2 linked regions of the Pelodiscus sinensis genome follow. The protein of the gene in region 1 purifies or fractionates together with the protein of each later gene. This does not show direct contact. Links are inferred from orthologs where the notes say so. Each region holds a gene or a part of one and is shown on either strand. Other genes may lie near its edges.

What was found.
Region 2: the proteins of DCAF6 (region 1) and TNNC2 purify together in Homo sapiens (affinity purification with mass spectrometry; 3 studies listed by BioGRID and IntAct, with this or other methods). This does not show direct contact. The link is inferred for Pelodiscus sinensis from reciprocal best matches to the Homo sapiens genes DCAF6 and TNNC2.

What each region holds. Positions count from the first base shown.
Region 1 is NC_134711.1:161,386,248-161,396,954, forward strand, and holds the start of DCAF6 (DDB1- and CUL4-associated factor 6), read right to left. Parts: upstream 4,412-10,707; 5' UTR 4,254-4,411; coding exon 4,160-4,253; intron 3,940-4,159; exon of another isoform or gene 3,796-3,939; intron 1-3,795. Other genes in the region: MPC2 (mitochondrial pyruvate carrier 2), read left to right, coding at 4,983-5,088. UniProt on the Homo sapiens protein: Ligand-dependent coactivator of nuclear receptors. Enhance transcriptional activity of the nuclear receptors NR3C1 and AR. May function as a substrate receptor for CUL4-DDB1 E3 ubiquitin-protein ligase complex.
Region 2 is NW_027465936.1:209,885-221,565, forward strand, and holds the start of TNNC2 (troponin C, skeletal muscle), read left to right. Parts: upstream 1-6,914; 5' UTR 6,915-7,023; coding exon 7,024-7,026; intron 7,027-8,194; coding exon 8,195-8,249; intron 8,250-8,469; coding exon 8,470-8,613; intron 8,614-10,961; coding exon 10,962-11,076; intron 11,077-11,363; coding exon 11,364-11,681. Other genes in the region: SNX21 (sorting nexin-21), read right to left, coding at 303-974, 1,229-1,386, 1,584-1,817, 2,040-2,175. UniProt on the Homo sapiens protein: Troponin is the central regulatory protein of striated muscle contraction. Tn consists of three components: Tn-I which is the inhibitor of actomyosin ATPase, Tn-T which contains the binding site for tropomyosin and Tn-C.

The sequences.
Region 1 (10,707 bases):
TTTTATCGATTACATGACTATTCAATAGTCCCTGGAGGGGGGGGGCCAGCAGCCAGCGTGCTTCCGGCCCCACTTCCAGGGACAGATCTGTCCATTGGGAGCTCGGCCCCCCGCCGACAAGGGCTGCTGCCACAGAGCAGCTCCTGTCCACAGCGAGCTGAGGCCCACCAGACAAAGATTGCTTTGTAGTAGTTTCCCCTGGGTCCCTCCCCACTGCTGCCTCTGACACAGAGGCAGCAAGCGGGGGTAGAATTGTATGTAGTTGGCAGGATTAACAGGTAAAACCAGGCTTATTGGTTAATTGTAAAGTCATCTGCACACTGACATCCCTAATTATCACATAAATAAAAGACCCACCACACTATATACATATTATACACACACATATCTTCCTCACACCACGTTATCACCAACAGATTGGGTAATATATTAACAATGGGCTCCTGGAAGAGGATGGAGGGAACTGGATGAACTCTTTCTGTTTGGACTGTTTACCCAAAACGGTTTCAACGGATTAAAAAAAAATCCACCCTACATTTATGCCTGATGCCTCAAAATGATATTACTATACAGACAACAAGTCAAAGTGTATGGCATTTAAAAGCAACAACAGCAGCAGCAAAACAAAACCAAAAAAAGTGTACAAGCTCTATCTGAGTTCTATCAGAATGGTAGACTAGGTGACCAGGGTGATCTTCTAATCCTTAGAAGATTACAGAGACTTTTACCTCTAATTCAGTCTGCATCACTATGGACCAATAATCATTTTGCCATCTGCTAACTGTCTGGCCATAACCTGCATGAAATGAATTTGTGGTCTCATTCCAGTGTCCTGTTGAGCGAGTGCCTACATATGACCATAGAGGAGACCTATATGTACCTGACTGAATGTATACCGCTGTAAATAGCAGATATATCCTTTCAATTAAGATCAGTTTCAGCAGAGACCAAACGGTGACTGCAACATAAAAATTACCATATTATTAAACAAGAATATATTTTTTGGTACAAGACCAAGCAAGTACATCAATGACTTAAAGGAGTTAAAAAATAAATTGTATTAAAGTAACATTCTGGATACAATTCAAATATGTCCTGGTCCACAATAGTTCTGAATGCCAGTTAAGGTTTGTACTTCTTCGGAGCAGTTTATATTCACTCTGCAGTATGGACTGAATAACTTAGAACCAGAAGCCTGCTAGCAAAATTACACAGGCTTGGCATCTCACTGAAATATGGACTGTTACCATAAACTTATCAATCTCTTATTTAATTAGAAACTGTTAGTCTTTAATCTTTCCACCAAATTGCCCCCATTCTCTCTTCAAACTGGGGCACTGTTGTTAATCTAGACCTTTACAACCATCAAATCATCTGAGCATTCAAGTTCTGTTACTACATCTATCCACTAGAGCAGTGATCACCAACCTGTAGATCGGGATCTACTAGTAGATCTTTGGAGTCTCTGACAGGTGATCCTGACTGGTTTGGCTGGGAGGCTATCAAGTCCCTGCACATCAGCTGCCCTTCCCATCACTGCCCTGCTGCTCCTGCACAGAGCCTCAGAGCAGTCCTCTGGGAGCCTCTTGCTTGTTGTGCAGAGTGGGGGAAACAGGCAGGAAGGCACTGATGTCACTGTCTCCCTCCCCTGTATCCCATCTTCACAGAGTGAGGAGGGTGGGGCCTCGGCAAAGGGGTGGGACAGAGGTATTTGGGTCTGAGGTAGATCCTGGACTGACAAATTGAAAAAGTGATCTTGTGCTTAAAGATTGGAGACCACTGCAGTAGAGTATCCCAGCTGATTATGATAGAAATATAGCCATGTTACTCTGGTGTAGCTGAAACCAAAAACAGGACTATGTAGCTCTTTAAAGACTAACAAGATGGTTTATTAGATTATGAGCTTTCGTGGGCCAGACATATGTGTGTTCATTTTTTAAACTGTATCCTTTGGTATATATGTATGGCTGTGACAATTTTCTTCCACTATTTGATATGAGGAAATGGGTCTGGCCCACGAAAGGTCATCTTTAAAGTGCTACATAGTCCTGTTTTTTGTTCCCGCTGATTATAGTTGTCAAGGTGTGACAAGTGGAGAAAGTCAAAAATATTAAGGACGAACTAGCTCAAACACCACCTTAAATTTCACTGAAAAATCAACTGAAAGCCAAAGCAGATCACATATGGAAGCAGGAGGAATACAAAAAATCTTCACAAAAAGAAATCATACTTTTAGCATTGATTCTTTGGTTTAAAAAGTCACAGGTGTATAGGTAAAATTTCACTCCAGTGACCTTACTGCACCCAGTTTAAATAAATACTATATTACTATTCTAGTAGAACCTAGAGGCCCTAAAAGAGATTGGAGGCGTACAGCATGAGGCAATACACCAGGCCTGGGCAAAATACAGCCCACTGGCCAGATGCGGCCCATCAAGCCACCAGGTCAGCCCTCTGGATGCAGCGGGGACCCACAGGCAGGATCCTCTGCTTGCCTACAGTACCGCATGCCACTCAGAAAAGTGACTGCAGGGCCATTTCTCTTTCAAAACTGATCTGGAAGAGGAGAGGCACAAGGCTTCAGGTGCTGCCACCCTGCACCCGGAACAAACCCATTGTCCAGTTTCTGACCAGAACCTGGACAATGGGAGCTGCCTGATTGAACAACAGGCAGCACACGAAGCCCCATGACCCTCTCCCCTCCAGCTTAGTTATTCACACAAGCACATGGCTCTGCAGGCTGTGCAGACACATGGTAGGCAGGCAGGCATGCTAGCTAATTGGCTGAGAAATGTTTTAAGTTCTGCATGCATTTAGCTCAGCAGGCTGGCTGGGCTGCTAGCTGGTAAGTCTCCTGGACAGAGCCTGCCTCTGACACTCTGCCCCTCCATTCAACATATCCAAGCCCTCTGCCCCCCTCCTGCACCCCAATCCCCTTAATCCTCCTACCCTAGGTCACAAACCAAACCCCTGTATCACAATCCCCTGCCTTAGGTCACAACTGCCTCCTTTACCCAAACTCCCTCTCTGACTCCACTCTCCCTCCTGCACCTCAGTCCCTTTCCCCAAACTCCCTTCTGCACCCAACCTCCACCCCAGACTCTGCACCTCCTCCATTAATATCATGGAAGAGTGCAACCCTCAACCACTTTCCAAAATCTTGGAATGGCCCCTCATCAAAAATTATTGCCCACCCCTGTACTACACAGAGAATACCTGTCCCATTTCAAAGATCCATAGGGAAAAATTACAAAACTTAACACAAATAAAGGCTTTACTCCCACCGTAAAATGTCAACAGTCCTTTTGGAGTAAAACATCAGTGTTGGAAACTTTAAACAGTAGTAGTATTTGGGTAATGTAGAAGTGCTAGAAAGTGAAACCAATCCATCTTAGTATCCAAGATGAATAAAATACAAACAGCAAACGCACAGCATTAATGGGTAAGCATTAAGTGGCATTTTAAAAACAGCTAGTTACGGATCCTGAGCTATTTTTAACACAAGTAAAAGAATGTTAAATAAACCGGTATTTTAAGATGACAGTTTCAAAAGTGCTCTATGGAGCACTGCCAGCTCAAGCAACGGGAAGAGACACAGCCTGCCCTGCGATAACAATCACAGGAGTGTCTCCTAAGTCCGATCCCTGAGCCACCTCGCAGCCCCGGGGCGCCGAGTGAGCACGCAACGCGTTTTGTCCCTGGGCTGAGACGCCCGTGGCTCGGGAAATGAAAGGCAGAGCTAAGCAGGCGGGACGGGCAGAGGCCGTTACGTTTCCACTCACTGACGCTTCCTACCATCGGTGCTAGAAGCCAGCCCCGGCTTGAAGTGGTTTCCATCGCACAGCGGGCTGACAGCTCTCAGCAGCACCCGCCCCGGGCCAGCTGCTCCAGCCTCCTCGCTCCCCGCCTCGGAAAACCCTCCAGGCCCCGGTGACCCACCGGGGAAGAAACTTTGCGGGGCCGGGGCGCGGCGCTGGCCGGCGGGGCAGGGACTGACCCAAGCCGTCCCATGGGGGGCGCGGCGGACACACAACCCCCCCCCCCCCCCCGCGGCTGTCGGGCAGCGCTCCGAGGGGGGGCGCAGCTGTCACTTTCGCCTGTGCCGCGCGAAACCCCCCCCCCTCCGAGCGAACGGCAACGCGCCCCTCCCCCCGCTCACCAAGGTAGTGTCTCCGCAGCAGACCGGGCTCCTCCAGCCCCAGGCTCCGCTTCCGCACGTCCCACAGCAGGTGCGGGCAGCACCCCCGGGACATGGCAACGCGGACGGGGAGTCGCTAGGGGGGGGGGGGGCTCGGGCTCAGACTCGGCGCCGGCGCCAGCCGCCCCCCGCGCTCACCATGGAGACCCGCTCGCTCGCGCGCACCCGCCTGCTGCCGAAGAACGAGCGGCCGCTCCACTCCCCTCCCCCCCCCATCTCACCCCGCCCCCTGACTCCTCCCCGACCCCGTTCGCAGCGCTCGAGACTTACACCTATCGCGGGAACGTCACTTTTGGTGGGTTCGGGCGGTGAAGGCTTGCAGCCGCCATCTTGGATTGGGGCACCGGAAAGCGCCTGCCCTTCCTTTGCCTTTCATCCGCGTCTGCCATCTTGGACCGGGCTCCGACGCGCTAAGGCAGCCATGTTTAGTTTGGGCAGAGACGGCGGCCAGAACGGACGGCGGTGGGGGGGGTGAAGGCTGTTCCCGCCCTTATCTGTCATGGCCGGAAAGAATTTTCTTTCTCAAATAAGACGTAGCGTCCGCTCTCTCCACGCAGGGCGGGGCGCTGGGGATGGGGGGGCGTAATAACCAATAGCGTTCGCCGAGCTGCTCGGCCACGCCCCCTCGCCTGCCAGCGGGCCAATGGGCGCGAAGTAAAGCGGGATCCTCCCCCCGCGAAGGGTGGCGCGCGCTAGGGGAGGCCGAAGGACGGCCGGTCGCGCCGGGGACGCCGGAGCAGCTGCTGTCACTGGGACCCAGCCCGGCCGCGCTCTCCCCTCCGAGATGGCCGCCGCCGCCGCGGGGTTCCGCGCCTCCTACCACCGCCTGCTGGACCGGATCGAGCTCAAGCTGCCGCCGCGGCTGCGGCCCCTGTACAACCACCCGGCAGGTAGCGGCTGCGGCCCCGGCGCCTGGGCCGGGGGGTGACAAGCGCTCGGGGCTGCCGGCCGGGCGCGCACCGCTCTCTGCCCGGGGCTGGCTGCGGGGTGGCAGGTCCTGGGTCTGAGGCGCTGGGCTCCCCCTGTCCCCGAGCTCCTGTCCCAGAGAGGGTGGGTCCGGGCCGGGCCGGGGCTCGCCGTGACCTTGGGCCGGTTGCCCCCTCTCTGCTCCCCGGCACCTGCTTCCTTCCCGGCACGAGCAGCCCTGCCAGACCCCGCGCCAGCCCTGGGACACAGGCACGGTGGCAGCCCCAGTGGACCAGGGCTTCCCCACCCACCACCTCGGGTTTATGGGGCGGGCAGATGTGGGGTTCCTAAATCCTCGCTTCTGAATGGTAAAATTCATGATGCTTTGCACTTCTCTAGGACGAGGCAGCTCAGAAAGGGCTTCAGAGAAAGTATCTGCCCTTAAGGAGAATTCGTCAGTGGGATGAGCTGTTGGAGGAGTTCAGATTCACCTGGATATTAGCTGCTTTCCGAGAGCATCACAAGGTCCTCTTTGGAATAGGGATATTCAGAAGCGGGTATTTCACTAATCATGTCAGTTCCAGCTCGCACCAGGTCCAGGAGCTACCCCTGCTGTGGCTCTGCAGTTTAAATGTAGTAGGAGCCAAACTGCCTGTCTCTTCACTATTTTTAAACTGCAGAACCACAGTGGTGGGGTCGGGGGGAGAGCTCCTGGACCCAATGCAAGCCAGGATTGAGCTGGGTTTGCACCAGGTCCAGCAGCCCCTGTCTGCTGGGGGTCCCAGTGTGGAGCTGGATCTCCTATGGACAGGGGCTGTTACTTTAGGTAGCAGTGTAGCGGAGGGGGCGGGCCACACAGTGGATATGGTACTGGGAGGAACTATCTTTCTAAGCCAACTGCCCCCAGCCAGGGCCAGCTCCTGGATGCACGACGCAACTTGCTAAGAGTGCTGGGATGTTTGTAATGGATCACTATACAATAGTATAAGGATCCTCTAATATCTTGTTGCTTTTCTGATCTTGACATGTACTTTGAAGTCTTAATTATCAGTAATAATAATTTCTGAAGAAACCCCAATGAATTTAAAAAAAACTTTGAGGCCAGGAATGTTGGACATTGGCTTGTCACTTAAAAATATACCACTGTGGGGTTGCTGTGGTGGCACTGGTATTTAGCATCAAACTGACAGTAACTAGTTTCTTTCTTTAATAGCTTGTTTCTACTTCTATCATTTTTAAGTTGGTATTTGAGCTAACTAACAGGTGTATTATGGGGAGAAGTATTGGGAAAATGATAATGAGCAGTATTATTGCTTAAACACAAATTAGCAAGTTTACTTTATTTATAGGAACATCCTGTAAACCAGGAGTGCAGGAACTTTTTGGCCTGATTTTGTAATGGAAATTCTGTGGAGAGCCATGAATGCTCACAAAATTAGGATTTGGGTGTAGGACAGGATGATGAATCTGGCTGAGGCTGGGGCCAGAAAAAAGGAGTTTAGGGTGCACAGGGGTGCTCTGGGCTGGGACTGAGGGGTTCAAAGGATGGAAAGGGGCTGTCAGCTGAGACAGGGAACTGGGGTGCACAGGAGGAGTTTGGGGTGCAGAAGGGTACTCGGATGGGATGGAGTGGTTCTGGAGGTGGGAGAGGTATCAGGACTTAGGCAAGGAATTGGAGTGTTGGGGGGGTCGAGGCTTTGCCTGGGTGGTGTAGACTCTGGGGTGAACTGGGGATAAGAAGTTTAGGAAGCAAGAATCTAAACTGGGAATCAATTTCCTTTCCTTTAAAAAAAAAACAAAACCCACTTGTGACCTCATTAATTGCAATGGGGTTTCTAGACATTTACAACATGTAAATATACAGTGTTGTTTCTGCCATTTTACAAATAGTAGTAACATATGGAGTAGTTGCATTGGCTGGTTCTAACTCATAAAAAAGAGATGATGCTGAGACAGGTCTGAAATTCTTAACCATAATCTTATTCAGATCAATGGAACTAAGAAAAGGGAAAAGAGAGAGGAGATATCTCCTATCTTCAAGTATAATCCATTTGAAAACAAAACTGCTGCTTGTCTTCATTTTCTTATCTATGAAATGAGCAACTTCTGCTCAACCTTTGGCTTTCCCTGTGTGCACCTTTTGAAACTAATGCTCTGTAGGTAAAGCAGCTCTAAAATAAAAGAAACCAGTGACATTTTAAAACACTACCTTTACCGTCTTTTTTTTTCCCTCTTGAAAAACTATTGTTAGTGCCTGGAGGGGCAGAAGGTAACAAATACTGTTCAATTATTCTCTTTGTAGATTTAGTCATTTATGCAATTCAAAGTAAAACTATTTTCCCAGCTGGCAAAACAAAGAAGTGAACACGTCATGTATATTCATGAATGGTGTACGCCACTGGAACTTTTTACATGAATCATGTGGATCTCTGTATTACCTTGCCTCACTCCAATCTTTTAGATTAGAGCCAGCAAGTGTCTGCAATTGATTGGCAGCAATTGTCCTGTTTAGTGTCCTTTTATGAGGAGAGGGGAGAAATGAGAAGAAAGGTCTTGAGACAGGAGAATTCAAAAAGATAAGTGAATCAATTATGTGCCTTGATGGCCTTAAGAAGAGACCTGTTTATCTACAATTTATGTCACAAATTCTGTGTACAAACATGGGAACAGGAATTTTTAGAAGTGCTGTGTTTGAGGAAAGAAGGTGACCAGCCATTCAAAATTAGTTCAGTTAACAATTCTCTCTCTTTAACAAGCATGAAAACATGCACTTTCATTTTCTTCAGTATTTTCCATTTGCTATCAAGGTAGATAATATTTAAAAGTGAATGATTACAGAACCATATAGGTGAATCTTCCATTTTAGAATCTGCTATGTAAATAGATTTCACAAGCTATCTGATGAAATGTAAAGTCTTCCCTGGACTGCCCTTTCTACTGTTTTTCTTTAATGCAATACATGTTCTTGAATTTTCATCAATCTAGAATGCGTTGTTGGGTATATCATGATTGTGCAGTAAGGAAATTTTAGCTTCTAGACCCCTGGTCATTTTTCTATAACAAAAGTCTTCTCTCAAAACAAAGATTGCACGGGTTTAACTAGAATCGGATCAAATAGTTTAGATTAATTTAAATCGGTGCAAACCCTTTTTACCAGTTTGAGCAAAGATGGTACAAAACTTTTCTTTTATATGAAGCTGACCAAAATTGAACCAATTGCAGTTGCTCATGTTTAATATATTAAGGTGCTGCAGTGTGATACTTCCTGGCATGTACATACACTATTAACTTACACTGTATTCCCAGTGTTAAAGATGGGAGGCTATATTATGTGGTTTCATACATTTGGCCTGTGACTTGAACTTTGGCCATTCTGTGCCGTGCCGTGCCTTGACTAAATGTCATAGTTGGAATTTCAAACTGTTAGAGTGATCCTGTTTCTAAAAGAAAAATGTCTTTGTCAAAAGAACAATTACCACATCATGTATAGGCAGCTTCAGCAAAGAGTTGGTGGGTATAGAAACTGAACTTCCTTCTTGTGCCCCTTCAATCTGTACCTGCTTTATGGATAGAGAGCTTCCGTATTCCAGGACTGTTGGGCACATTTCAACTAGAACAAAAGCCATTCAGTGGGAAAAGATACTTTTGTTTGCCCTAAAACGAAAGCTTTTAATGTCCTTAGCAAGGCCTACTTTGATGACCTACTTTGATAAGTGACTCTTTGCCTAGATTTTGAATTGTTTGTATCTAAGAGAAATCCCTTTACTTTGGCTTGGAAAACAGTTTGGGTGAAATACTTAAAAAAACACACACACACACACACCACCCTTGCATTTGCTGTTTTTCAAATTAATGAAGGTTACTAGAGGACAGTGAAAGATTCTGACAAATAGGAGATGTGAACCCAACTCCCCCACTTCCAATTGGCTGCTGCATAGTAGAAAACTAGTGTTAACAGCAGAGAGATGTGACTTGGCTTGTATTCAGTTACATGTGTTCACTGTTTAAGCTTCTTTAATTAGGGATGGATAGTCATATTTCAGTAACTGATTCATTAATGAAGCAGAATCCATCTCTTGGTTTGAGTTGTATGCTTCATCAGTGTACTCTGTGTTCCTTGTTAGGAGCAGGAAGCATATTTTCAAAATGTATTAAGATTATTATTTTGTATTACCCAGATTTATCCCTGGTGTAATAATAGTTATACTAGAGATGAATTAAGTCCAGCCAGTGTAGAGGTGTGTAAAATACGTCAAGGTTCATAAAGTGTTTTATTTTTATTATGAAAATCAAAATGCATGTGAAATCTATCAAACAGAAGACAAAGCTTTAGTCTGCTTTTTGTTGTCTTAACAAGACTTTGAAAACAGTTCTTTCCTTCCTCTTGAGTCTCTGAAACCAGCTTACTGACATTTTAAAACTCCATTAATAATTTATTAGGAGAGTTCTCAAGGATTTTATGAAAACCATTTTTTTTTTCAAGTATTAGTTTTAAAATTCCAATCAGATTCCTGTGCAATTTTTCCCCTTGGATGCTGGAGTGCTGTCTTATTTGATTTGTTACTGATAGGTCATTGCATTTACTGCAAGAACACTGAAATACTTTAAGAGGAAATTCATAGAAAATAATTAGACATCTGAATGCATGCATACATGTTTGGAAGCTTGCAGGTACGATCACAAATAGTAAACATAACTTGAACAAACATTTTTATGAATGTAGGTGTAAATCATAACCCATTGTAGCATAAATGAGCATGGAAATAATGTTTGTGAAAACCCCCACCGTAATCTGGAGGAAATAGGTACTGACCTTTATTGTTTGGAAGGATGCCATTGATGCTTGGGCAAGCATAAAAGAAAACATTTTAATTTGAAAGGGTTCTTGATTAAGATTGAGCCTACCAGCTGCTATCCTGGGTGGATGTAGGTCTGTGGCCTTCGCCTCAGACTGGTCTTCTCTTTCTTAAGGCTTTAGATTCTAAGAACTTGACATGCAGTCAATGAATAAACAGGCAGCGTGTCTCCTCAATTTTGTGTGCCACTCCAGATTCCAGAATAAATACAGCTACATATCCTGGAGCAAGAAAGTATCCAGGCACCCTCCCTGGAAAGATCTTAAGATATAACTGGAAGAAGTTAATCATACTTTAGATCTGCCTGCCATTAGTTTTGCAATTGTGAAAGAACTGGGAGATGGATAGGAGGGAAAACAGGAGTGAGGATGTGGATGAGTTTCCACACTAGGAAACTTTGGGAAATCCTAACAGATGCATTTAAACTTGATTTGCCAGAGAAACTTTCCAGGCAGTGTGGAAGGGAAGGGAAGGGAAGGAAGCTTTATATGAGATATAATTTAAAAGATTCAAAAATTGTCATTCTGAAGCCTACAATGTCTGAATCAGTGTGATGTGATGAAAACTTCTACAATCCTGGTTGAAAGCTCTTTATTTAGAATATCACCAGGATCAGTCATCACTGGGCCCTGTGAGAACCAGATGGAAAGCTGAAGTCTGAAGGTTCTGTGGCATTTGGAATATGACAGCTAATCAATCAGAGAAGGTGCTATTTTGGGTAACAAATATAATTGTGCCTCTAGCAAA
Region 2 (11,681 bases), on another chromosome or scaffold:
CAAGTCTTGTTACAGGCTCCCAGGAGCCAGCTAGTCCCTTAGTGCAGCATGGCAGGGCCCAGCTACCTCCCCTGCAGGCCTGGCAGCCCCTCCCGGGAGGGGTTGGCCCCGAGACGGGGCCATTGCGGGCCCTTTGACAAGCACGTTTCCACGAGTGCAGCAGAGACCAGCGCCAAGTATCGCCAAGCGCCTGCCCTGCTCCCCTCCCCCACCCCTGCCGCTACGCCTGCCTGGGCCGTACAGACCCACTGCCCCGCCAAGGCCCGCCTCCCCCGGCCCCACGCACAGCCCAGTGCTGGGGGTCAGTCCAAGGCCTCCTTGATCAACAATTCCTTCAGGGTGGGCGGCTGCTGCGGAAGCAGCCCGGGCCCGTGCAGCCCCTGCAGCCTGGCCTCCGACTGGCGCTTGTCTCTCCCCACCTTCCAGGACAGGTGGACGTGGGCCTGCAGGAAGGGCTCCAGCAAGGGGTGACTGTCCTGGGCCTCCAGGAGCTGCAGAGCCTGCTCGCAGTAGCCGTGAGCCTCACTCAGCTCCTCCAGCTCCTGGTGGCACACGGCCAGGCCAGCCAGCGTGAGCAGGAAGCGGCCGGAGCGCCCGGCGCCCAGCTTGTCCTGGAGCCGGCAGGCGTTGCTCCAGGCGGCCAGGGCCTCGCGGTACATGCCGGTGCAGGTGAGGCGCTGCGCTGCCTGCAGCTCGCGCAGGAAGAAGAACTCCTGGAAGGCGGCGGAGCGGCGGATCTCGGCGATGGAGTGCAGGTGGGACAGGAACTGCTCGAAGGCCCGGCTCCGCTTGGCGATGGTTTCGGCCGTGAAGTTCCTGCGCAGCCGCTTCCTGGGGAAGGCGACGCCTGCCATGTCGCAGGCAAAGTGGCGGCGCAGGCGCCGGTTCAGCCGCTCCAAGTCCGAGTAGCGGCGGGCAATGGCGGCAGGGGCCTTGTCAAACTGGCCGGAGCGGATCAGGTAGATGGTGTAGAGCTGGGGGGAGAGCAGGGCGTGAGGGCGCCGCACCACTGCGCACGCCTCGCCTCTCGCCGGGTGCCCACGCTGGGCCAAGGGGACAGGCTCCCTCGGGGCAGGGCTGGGGCACAGCAAGCACCTGGCAGCAAGTTACCTGAGGCTCGTCTGAGCCGCCGGCGCCATCCGCAGCACAGGAGAGAGAGAAAAGCGTCAGCTCAGGGCCCCAACCCAACACGGCCCACGGGGGGCTTGGCAGCCAGCCCCTCACTCACCACGTATTTGGAGGAGCGCTCGCTGACCACGCTGGCGCTGGTGACCTCGAAGAGCAGCCGCTGGGGAGCCAGGGTGCCACGCGACCTCCTCCACAAGTCCTGGAGCTGGCGGGTCAGCAGGTGGCTGCCCGGGCGCTCAGCCGGAGAGGGGCTCGGAGCTGCACCGGAGACAAGCCCGGCCGTCACCCGCCAGGCCGTGCCAGGGAGGGGGAACAGGCCAGGCCCCCGCCCCTTGTTCCAGCCCTGTCACCCGTGGGACCTGGGGGCTCCCCCCCCCCCATCTCCCGGCCCCACTGGGTCCTTGGGCCTCTTGCATGGGGCTGTCTAGAGCATCGCCCCGCGCCTGCCGGCTCACCCAGCCCCCCCAGCTCCTGGGCGGCCGCCTCCTCCTCCTCCTGCTCCTGCTCCGCCTCCTCCTCCGGGCCGCTGCTGAAGCTGAGGGTGCCGCTGAGTCGCGTGGAGAGCCCCTCGGTGTCGTCCTCCAGCTCGGAGCTCTCCGGGAACTCCTCCGCCTCCGCGCCGGGCCGGCCGGGCGCCGCCCCCGCCAGGGCGTCCCGCAGGCGGTGCAGCAGGCGGGCGGCCATGGGCGCTGCGGAGGGAGCGAGAAGCGGGGCTGAGCGAGCGGGCGGTGCCTGGGAGACGGCGCTTGCCCCGGGGGCGGGGGAGGACAGAGCGGGGGGGGGGCACTAAGGCACCTGCCGGGGGGGGGGGGGGGTTGCTGCAAACTTGCCGGGCAAGGCGGCCACAGCTGGGACCCCCCTCCGGGCGGGGGGAGGGGCAGCTGGGGGCCGGGCCCCCCCGCGTTGCTCACCGAGGCCGGAGCCGCGATCCAGGCTGCGATGGCCGCTCAGTCGCGGCTCCTCCTTGGATCCTCCCTGCCGCGGCTCCGCCTCCGCCCGGGAACCCGGATCCTGCCCGGCCGGGGGCTCGCCGAGCCACAGCGGCATTCCCGGCGCGCAGGGCGCCTTATCTAGAGCCGCCGCCCAATCCGGAGTCACTCCTGAGCCACAGGGCGGCACCCACCCCTCTCCCACTCTGGAGTAGCCGGGCCTGCTCCTGCCTCCCCCGACTAATCTGGACTCAATCCGGATCGACTCCCAGTTGTGTGGCTGCCCAATCAGGAGTCTGCTTTGGTCCAGTAGGGTTCAGGATCTGGCTCCAGCAGCCCCAGGGGCGATTTGCCCGCCCCTACCCCCGATCAGACAGAGCAGGGGGCTGGTTGTGTGAGGTACACTGGTGTCCTGGGGCCGGGCTCGCCTCTCGCGCCGGTTCTGGGGCCCCCAGGCCCTCGTGGCCTGTCCGGAGCGGCTGGCTCCCTGGGGCTCGGCGTCTCTCCAGACTGGGACGCAGGCCCCGCCTGGGCTCCCTGCCCAGCTCTGCCCCCAGCTGCTTCCCAGCCTTATTTAGAGAGATGCGCCCACTCCCTCCTTGCAGCGTCTTAGGCATGTCTATTAATACCGGCCCCAGCCCAGCTGCGCCCGTCAGTCGGAGCCGGCCCCCCGCCCCCCGGCTCTGCTCCCTCGCCCCGGGCCGGGTGGGAGGCTCTGCCCCGAGACACCACCTGCCCCACACCCCAGAAGCACTGCTGGCTTGATGGGGCAGCAGACCCACCTTGCCCGCCCATAAAGAGACCAGGCCTCCGCAGGGTGGCAGCGCCTGGCATGGCGGGGGGGGGGGGCTTCCAATCCCAGCCCGAGAAACGCCCTGTCCCACGCCTGGCATGGCGGGGGGGGGGGGGGCTTCCAATCCCAGCCCGAGAAACGCCCTGTCCCACGCCTGGCATGGCGGGGGGGGGCCTCCAATCCCAGCCCAAGAAACGCCCCGTCCCACGCCTGGCATGGCGGGGGGGCCTCCAATCCCAGCCCGAGAAACGCCCTGTCCCACGCCTGGCATGGCGGGGGGGCCTCCAATCCCAGCCCGAGAAACGCCCTGTCCCACGCCTGGCATGGCGGGGGGGCCTCCAATCCCAGCCCGAGAAACGCCCTGTCCCACGCCTGGCATGGCGGGGGGGCCTCCAATCCCAGCCCGAGAAACGCCCTGTCCCACGCCTGGCATGGCGGGGGGGGGCCTCCAATCCCAGCCCGAGAAACGCCCTGTCCCACGCCTGGCATGGCGGGGGGGGCCTCCAATCCCAGCCCGAGAAACGCCCTGTCCCACGCCTGGCATGGCGGGGGGGGGCCTCCAATCCCAGCCCGAGAAACGCCCTGTCCCACGCCTGGCATGGCGGGGGGGGGCCTCCAATCCCAGCCCGAGAAACGCCCCGTCCCACGCCTGGCATGGCGGGGGGGCCTCCAATCCCAGCCCAAGAAACGCCCCGTCCCACGCCTGGCATGGCGGGGGGGGGCCTCCAATCCCAGCCCGAGAAACGCCCTGTCCCACGCCTGGCATGGCGGGGGGGGGGCCTCCAATCCCAGCCCGAGAAACGCCCCGTCCCACGCCTGGCATGGCGGGGGGGCCTCCAATCCCAGCCCGAGAAACGCCCTGTCCCACGCCTGGCATGGCGGGGGGGGGGCCTCCAATCCCAGCCCGAGAAACGCCCTGTCCCACGCCTGGCATGGCGGGGGGGCCTCCAATCCCAGCCCGAGAAACGCCCTGTCCCACGCCTGGCATGGCGGGGGGGGGCCTCCAATCCCAGCCCGAGAAACGCCCCGTCCCACGCCTGGCATGGCGGGGGGGGGGCCTCCAATCCCAGCCCGAGAACGCCCCGTCCCACGCCTGGCATGGCGGGGGGGGGCCTCCAATCCCAGCCCGAGAAACGCCCCGTCCCACGCCTGGCATGGCGGGGGGGGGCCTCCAATCCCAGCCCGAGAAACGCCCCGTCCCACGCCTGGCATGGCGGGGGGGGGCCTCCAATCCCAGCCCGAGAAACGCCCCGTCCCACGCCTGGCATGGCGGGGGGGCCTCCAATCCCAGCCCGAAGAAACGCCCCGTCCACGCCTGGCATGGCGGGGGGGCCTCCAATCCCAGCCCGAGAAACGCCCCGTCCCACGCCTGGCATGGCGGGGGGGGGGCCTCCAATCCCAGCCCGAGAAACGCCCTGTCCCACGCCTGGCATGGCGGGGGGGGGGCCTCCAATCCCAGCCCGAGAAACGCCCCGTCCCACGGCCTTGCATGGCGGGGGGGGGCCTTCCAATCCCAGCCCGAGAAACGCCCCGGTCCCACGCCTGGCATGGCGGGGGGGCCTCCAATCCCAGCCCGAGAAACGCCCCGTCCACGCCTGGCATGGCGGGGGTGGGGGGGCCTCCAATCCCAGCCCGAGAAACGCCCCGTCCCACGCCTGGCATGGCGGGGGGGGGGCCTCCAATCCCAGCCTGAGAAACGCCCCGTCCCACGCCTGGCATGGCGGGGGGGGGGCCTCCATCCCAGCCCGAGAAACGCCCCGTCCCACGCCTGGCATGGCGGGGGTGGCCTCCAATCCCAGCCCGAGAAACGCCCCGTCCCACGCCTGGCATGGCGGGGGGGGGCCTCCAATCCCAGCCTGAGAAACGCCCCGTCCCACGCCTGGCATGGCGGGGGGGGCCTCCAATCCCAGCCCGAGAAACGCCCCGTCCCACGCCTGGCATGGCGGGGGGGGCCTCCAATCCCAGCCTGAGAAACCCCGTCCCACGCCTGGCATGGCGGGGGGGGGGGCCTCCAATCCCAGCCCGAGAAACGCCCCGTCCCACGCCTGGCATGGCGGGGGGGCCTCCAATCCCAGCCCGAGAAACGCCCCGTCCCACGCCTGGCATGGCGGGGGGGGGCCTCCAATCCCAGCCGAGAAACGCCCCGTCCCACGCCTGGCATGGCGGGGGGGGCCTCCAATCCCAGCCCGAGAAACGCCCCGTCCCACGCCTGGCATGGCGGGGGGGGGCCTCCAATCCCAGCCGAGAAACGCCCCGTCCCACGCCTGGCATGGCGGGGGGGGGCCTCCAATCCCAGCCCGAGAACGCCCCGTCCCACGCCTGGCATGGCGGGGGGGGCCTCCAATCCCAGCCCGAGAACGCCCCGTCCCACGCCTGGCATGGCGGGGGGGCCTCCAATCCCAGCCCGAGAAACGCCACGGTCCCACGCCTGGCAGGGATCAAAGCCGGTTTCCGGGCAGGACGCAGGTTGATTTACACGGATGCAGCAGGAAATCGGGAGCCCTGTGCCCTCCCCAGGGACTCGGCGTGTGCTGGGGGGGCCAGGGGAAGGAGCACCCTGTGCCCAGAGCAACACGCTTGTTGGTGCCCAAAGCATCACCCCAATGGGCACGGTCCTGAGCAGCCAGCACGGCCCCCTTGTGCCACGTCTCCTCCGTGGCTGTAGGCATGGCCAGCGCGGGCAGCCAGTCCCATAGGCCCCAGGGTGGGAGGGACTGTCCCTTGGCTGTCGCCGGGTCCACACGTGCTTTCCTGGGCCCCAGACGGGTGGGAACCAGATCCCCATGTAAACAAGAGAGCGGGGGCGGGGCGAGCGCCGGGGGCGCAGGGCAGCCTGACTCCATGCAGGGCGAGGCTCCCGGCTCCCTCCGGCCCTGCTCCCGCGCCCGTGCTGTGCCCCCCAGGCAGGCCAGGGTTGGCCATGCAGGTCCCCGGTGACCGAGGCGATCCGGGCCAGACACAAGCCTAACCCCCGCAGTCCCATGGCCACCACCTCCGCTCCTTGGCCAGAGCCCTGGGCACCTGATGCTGCGACGGTCTCCCTGGGCTGGGCAGAGCCTTGCAGCAGGGCTAGTGCCCAGCCGTACCCAGTGCGAGGCAGGCGTCGGGCCAGCCCCCTGGCGCCGAGCTGCTCCCCTCGCCTCTGCATTCCAGGCTTCCCAGAGCAGGCCCTCCGGCCCCCCCTTGCCCCCCAGGCGCTCCCGGCCTGGGCTTGCAGAGCAGGCTTGGCCGGCCTGCTCCTTGCCCTCCCGGCTGGAGGCGTCTTCACTTGCAGTGGGATGTTTGGAGGACACACCGGGCCATGGGGCGGGGCACAGGAGGCAGGGAAGGAGCCACGGGGCCGAGGGTGCGGTGGGACGGGGAAAGACAGAGCGACCCAGGGACAGCCGAGTCCCGGGCCAGAGGGTTGGAAGCAAGGCTCAAACCCCAGCGTCCCGCAGCTGGAGTCGGCAGGGCCCCCCGGCATCTGGGAAGAGGGGTAAAGGGACCAGCCCCACGTGGCACCCGGCTGGGAGGGGAGCCGGCCACAGGGCAGTGGCACTGGCTGGAGGAGGGCCGGGCCAGGGCAGAGCGTGAGAACGGCTGCTACCGCTGCTCACGGGTCCCTCAGCTGCCAGCACAAACTCGAGACGTTCTCGGCCGGGGAGGCGGGTGCTTGCCCCATCCAGCCTCCCGCCGCCGTCCGCCACCCCCGGGGCCTGCCCAGCCGGGGGCATGGACGTCCCTCCCCGCCATGCTGAAGGCAATAGGCCAGAGCCCCCAGCCGTGGGTTTTCCTTGCAGCTGGCCCTGGCCCCGGCCAGCAACTGGCTCTGGCCGGAGCCTCTTGCTGCGGCAGCCCCGGCAGGTGCTGGAGGGAGGCGCTGCGTCTCCTGCGCCCCGCGGGGTTGAATTTCCTGCCCTGCTCTTAATCCCCCTGGCTCGGCCAATAAAGTGTTTGCTAAATTAGGTAAAATGGCCCGGCCGCCAATCAGGGGCCAAGGGCCGACAGGAGGCAGCTGATAGGCTGCGGGAGAGCGGCGCCCGGCGAGGCCCAATGGCGCGGTGCTGGGGGGGCAGCGGGCGGGTCGAGGACGGTACAAATTGGGGGGCCAGGGGTGGAGGGGGAGCTCCTGGGGCTGGTGGTTGCGGGCGGCGGTGACTGGTCTGGGAGGTGCTGCGAGAGCCTGTCAGCATGGTGAGCCTGGGGGGGTGCTGGGCGGGAGGGGTGTGGGTGCGAGGAGGTGGCCAGCCCGGCGGGTGCAGCAGGGCGAAGGTTGGGGTCGTGAGGCGGGGCTGCCGGTGGGTGCTGGTGACAGGCTGAGCACAGAGCGGCTCCGGCTCCGGCTCCGGGTGCTGGCGGGGTGGAGGCACCGGGCTGGCGGAGGCCAAGGAGGCCAGGCCCCGGGGGCGGGAGTTGGGGCATTTAGAAAAATCGGCGATTTGCAGAACGTCCCATCATGCCCCTGCCCGGAACGATGCTGCCCCTGGGGTGGGCAATGGGGCAGGTGCAAAGGGGGCTGGGGGCTGCCCCCATCTCACTCGGCCGGCAGGGGAGTCCAAGGCAGCCCTGGGCCAGCATCCCCAGGCGTTTGGGAGTCATGTTCCCGGGGGGGGGGGGGGGGAGGCCATGGTGCTGGAGGGGGCAGGCAGTGCTGGTGCTGGGGGGGGCAGGCGGCCATGTTGCCCGGGAGGGGGCAGGAGCAGCGCTGGGCGCAGCAGGGCCGGACTCAGCAGGCTGCCGTAAGCTGAGCTCCGGGTCATAAGACACCGTCTGTGGCCCACAAGCCGCCAGCTGCCTGGGCCTGCCCTCAAGGAGTAATTCAATCCCAGCCCGGCAGGTGTGTGGGCTGGGCCTGGCCTCCTGCTGCCCCCCTACAAGGGCCGAGTCTGGGCTAAGAATAGCCCCCGCCCAGGCCCGGCAACGCCCCGCAGGCAGCCCGGCCCTGCGGCCCCCAGTCCCGAGGGCAGGGCTAGACGCAGCCGCACGAGGGCTCGGGGGGGGGGGACGGGCAGGGCCCCCAGTGCCGCATGCCCTACTGCTCTAGGGGAGCGCTGATGGGTGGCGTGAATCCGGTGAAACGCGCAGCCTGGCCCGTGCCCCGCCCCAGGCCACGGGACGCCTGTGGCCCACGCTGGGTGCTGGCCAGGGTGGCAGGTGCTCTGGGGAGGCCCCAGCGGCGTGGCCCTGCCCTCGGGTGCCCAGGTGGTGCTGGGGTGTCGCCGTGCTCGGCTCCGGGGGCTGCGCGACTCGGGCCCCGCCGCACTGCGCCCGCTGCAGAGCGGAGCCGGAGCCGGAGCTGGAGCCGGAGCCCAGACGCCGCAGGGCCGGGCCCCACTGAGCCGCTCTTCCGGTTGCCTTGCAGACGACGGACCAGCAGGCGGAGGCGCGGTCCTTCCTCTCCGAGGAGATGATCGCAGGTGAGTGAGACCCCGCCCCTCTGGGCTCGGGGGAGGGGGAATAAGAGCTACTGGGGGGCTCCCACAAGTTGCCCTGCTTGCCAAGGGGAGAGGGCAGCAGACGGGACCCTCTGGGCCCGCCCCAGGGGCCGATCCGGCAGGCGGGCCGAGGGGCAGGGGGCCGAGGCTGCTGAGAGGCCGGTGCCTGGGGCAAAGCCCCCGCTGACGCTCTGCCCGGCAGAGTTCAAGGCCGCCTTCGACATGTTTGACGCGGACGGCGGCGGGGACATCAGCACCAAGGAGCTGGGCACCGTGATGCGCATGCTGGGGCAGACGCCCACCAAGGAGGAGCTGGACGCCATCATCGAGGAAGTGGACGAGGATGGTGAGCGCAGCACGGTGGCACGCTGGGGGGGGGGGCTGGCGCACGGTGGCACGCTGAGGGGGGGGCTGGCGCACGGTGGCACGCTGAGGGGGGGGCTGGCGCACGGTGGCACACTGGGGGGGCTGGCGCACGGTGGCACGCTGAGGGGGGGGCTGGCGCACGGTGGCACACTGGGGGGGGCTGGCGCAACGGTGGCACGCTGCGGGGGGGCTGGCGCACGGTGGCACGCTGGGGAGGGCTGGCGCAACGGTGGCACGCTGAGGGGGGGGCTGGCGCACGGTGGCACACTGGGGAGGGCTGGCGCACGGTGGCACGCTGAGGGGGGGCTGGCGCACGGTGGCACACTGGGGGGGGGCTGGCGCACGGTGGGACGCTGAGGGGGGGGCTGGCGCACGGTGGCACGCTGAGGGGGGGCTGGCGCACGGTGGCACGCTGTGGGGGGGCTGGCGCACGGTGGCACGCTGGGGGGGGGCTGGCGCACGGTGGGACGCTGAGGGGGGGCTGGCGCACGGTGGCACGCTGAGGGGGGGCTGGCACACGGTGGGACGCTGAGGGGGGGGCTGGCGCACGGTGGCACGCTGCGGGGGGGGCTGGCGCACGGTGGCACGCTGTGGGGGGGCTGGCGCTACGGTGGCACGCTGAGGGGGGGCTGGCGCACGGTGGCACACTGGGGGGGGCTGGCGCACGGTGGGACGCTGAGGGGGGGCTGGCGCACGGTGGCACGCTGAGGGGGGGCTGGCGCACGGTGGCACGCTGTGGGGGGGCTGGCGCACGGTGGCACGCTGGGGGGGGGCTGGCGCACGGTGGGACGCTGAGGGGGGGCTGGCGCACGGTGGCACGCTGAGGGGGGGCTGGCGCACGGTGGCACGCTGCGGGGAGGGCTGGCGCACGGTGGCACGCCTGCGGGGGGGCTGGCGCACGGTGGCACGCTGCGGGGGGGCTGGCGCACGGTGGCACGCTGCGGGGAGGGCTGGCGCACGGTGGCACGCTGCGGGGGGGCTGGCGCACGGTGGCACGCTGCGGGGAGGGCTGGCGCACGGTGGCACGCTGCGGGGGGGCTGGCGCACGGTGGCACGCTGCGGGGGGCTGGCGCACGGTGGCACACTGGGGGGGCTGGCGCACGGTGGCACGCTGCGGGGGGGCTGGCGCACAGTGGCACGCTGCGGGGGGGCTGGGCGCACGGTGGCACGCTGCGGGGAGGGCTGGCGCACGGTGGCACGCTGTGGGGGGGCTGGCGCACGGTGGCACGCTGCGGGGAGGGCTGGCGCACGGTGGCACACTGGGGGGGCTGGCGCACGGTGGCACGCTGCGGGGGGGCTGGCGCACAGTGGCACGCTGCGGGGGGGCTGGCGCACGGTGGCACGCTGCGGGGAGGGCTGGCGCACGGTGGCACGCTGTGGGGGGGCTGGCGCACGGTGGCACGCTGCGGGAGGGCTGGCGCACGGTGGCACACTGGGGGGCTGGGGCACGGTGGCACGCTGCGGGGGGGCTGGGGCACGGTGGCACACTGGGGGGGCTGGCGCACGGTGGCACGCTGAGGGGGGACTGGCGCACGGTGGCACACTGGGGGGGGGACTGGCGCACGGTGGCACGCTGCGGGGGGGGCTGGCGCACGGTGGCACGCTGCGGGGGGGGCTGGCGCACGGTGGCACACTGGGGGGGCTGGCGCACGGTGGCACGCTGAGGGGGGACTGGCGCACGGTGGCACGGTGCGGGGGGGGGCTGGCGCACGGTGGCACGCTGCGGGGGGGGGCTGGCGCACGGTGGCACGCTGCGGGGGGGCTGGCGCACGGTGGCACGCTGCGGGGGGGCTGCCGCACGGTGGCACGCTGCGGGGGGGGCAGGCGCACGGTGGCACACTGGGGGGGGCTGGCGCACGGTGGCACGCTGCGGGGGGGGCTGCCGCACGGTGGCACGCTGTGGGAGGGGCTGGCGCACGGTGGCACGCTGCGGGGGGGGCTGGCGCACGGTGGCACGCTGCGGGGGGGCTGGCGCACGGTGGCACGCTGCGGAGGGGCTGGCGCACGGTGGCACGCTGCGGGGGGGCTGGCGCACGGTGGCACACTGGGGGGGGCTGGCGCATGGTGGCACACTGGGGGGGCTGGCGCATGGTGGCACGCTGCGGGGGGGCTGCCACACGGTGGCACGCTGCGGGGGGGGCTGGCGCACGGTGGCACGCTGCGGGGGGGGCTGGCGCACGGTGGCACGCTGCGGGGGGGCTGCCGCACGGTGGCACACTGGGGGGGACTGGCGCACGGTGGCACGCTGCGGGGGGGCTGGCGCACGGTGGCACACTGGGGGGGACTGGCATTGGCATCCTGGCCCTCAGGGCTGGCTGCTTCCCGCAGGCAGCGGCACCATCGACTTCGAGGAGTTCCTGGTGATGATGGTGCGGCAGATGAAGGAGGATGCGAAGGGCAAGTCGGAGGAGGAGCTGGCCGAGTGTTTCCGCATCTTCGACAAGTGAGTGGGTGCAGCCCGGGCCCCACCGCCCGCTCTGAGCATCTCCCCCAGCACGGGGTGGGGGGCGCGGATACCAGTTCGGGGGGTCACATCCCTGCCAACCTGCTCTGAGCCCCCCCAGACTGCAGGCCCGGTGCCCAGGCTGCCCCCCCCATGGGCACAGGCCTGTCACGAGGGCACTGCCTCCCTCAGCCCAGGTCGCGCTGCTGCAGGCCGGGCTCCTGCCAGGGCAAGGCCAGGGTGCCCCGCGGGCCCTGCTGCCCCGGCTCAGGCTGACGCCTCCCCAGGAACGCGGACGGGTACATCGACGCCGAGGAGCTGACCGAGATCTTCCGCGCCTCCGGGGAGCACGTGACCGAGGAGGAGATCGAGGAGCTCATGAAAGACGGGGACAAGAACAACGACGGACGCATCGACTTCGATGGTGAGCGCCAGGGCCGCTCCCCCCGTGCCAAGCTCTCGGAGCCCCCTTCCGAACCACTGGGCTGGGGCAGGGAGGCGCCACCCCCGGTCCAGCGGGGTCACGGCTGGGTGCCTGGGCCAGGGACCCTGCTAGCTCAGTGCGGGGAAAGGAGGGGTGTCTGTGAGCGGCATGGCCAGCACCC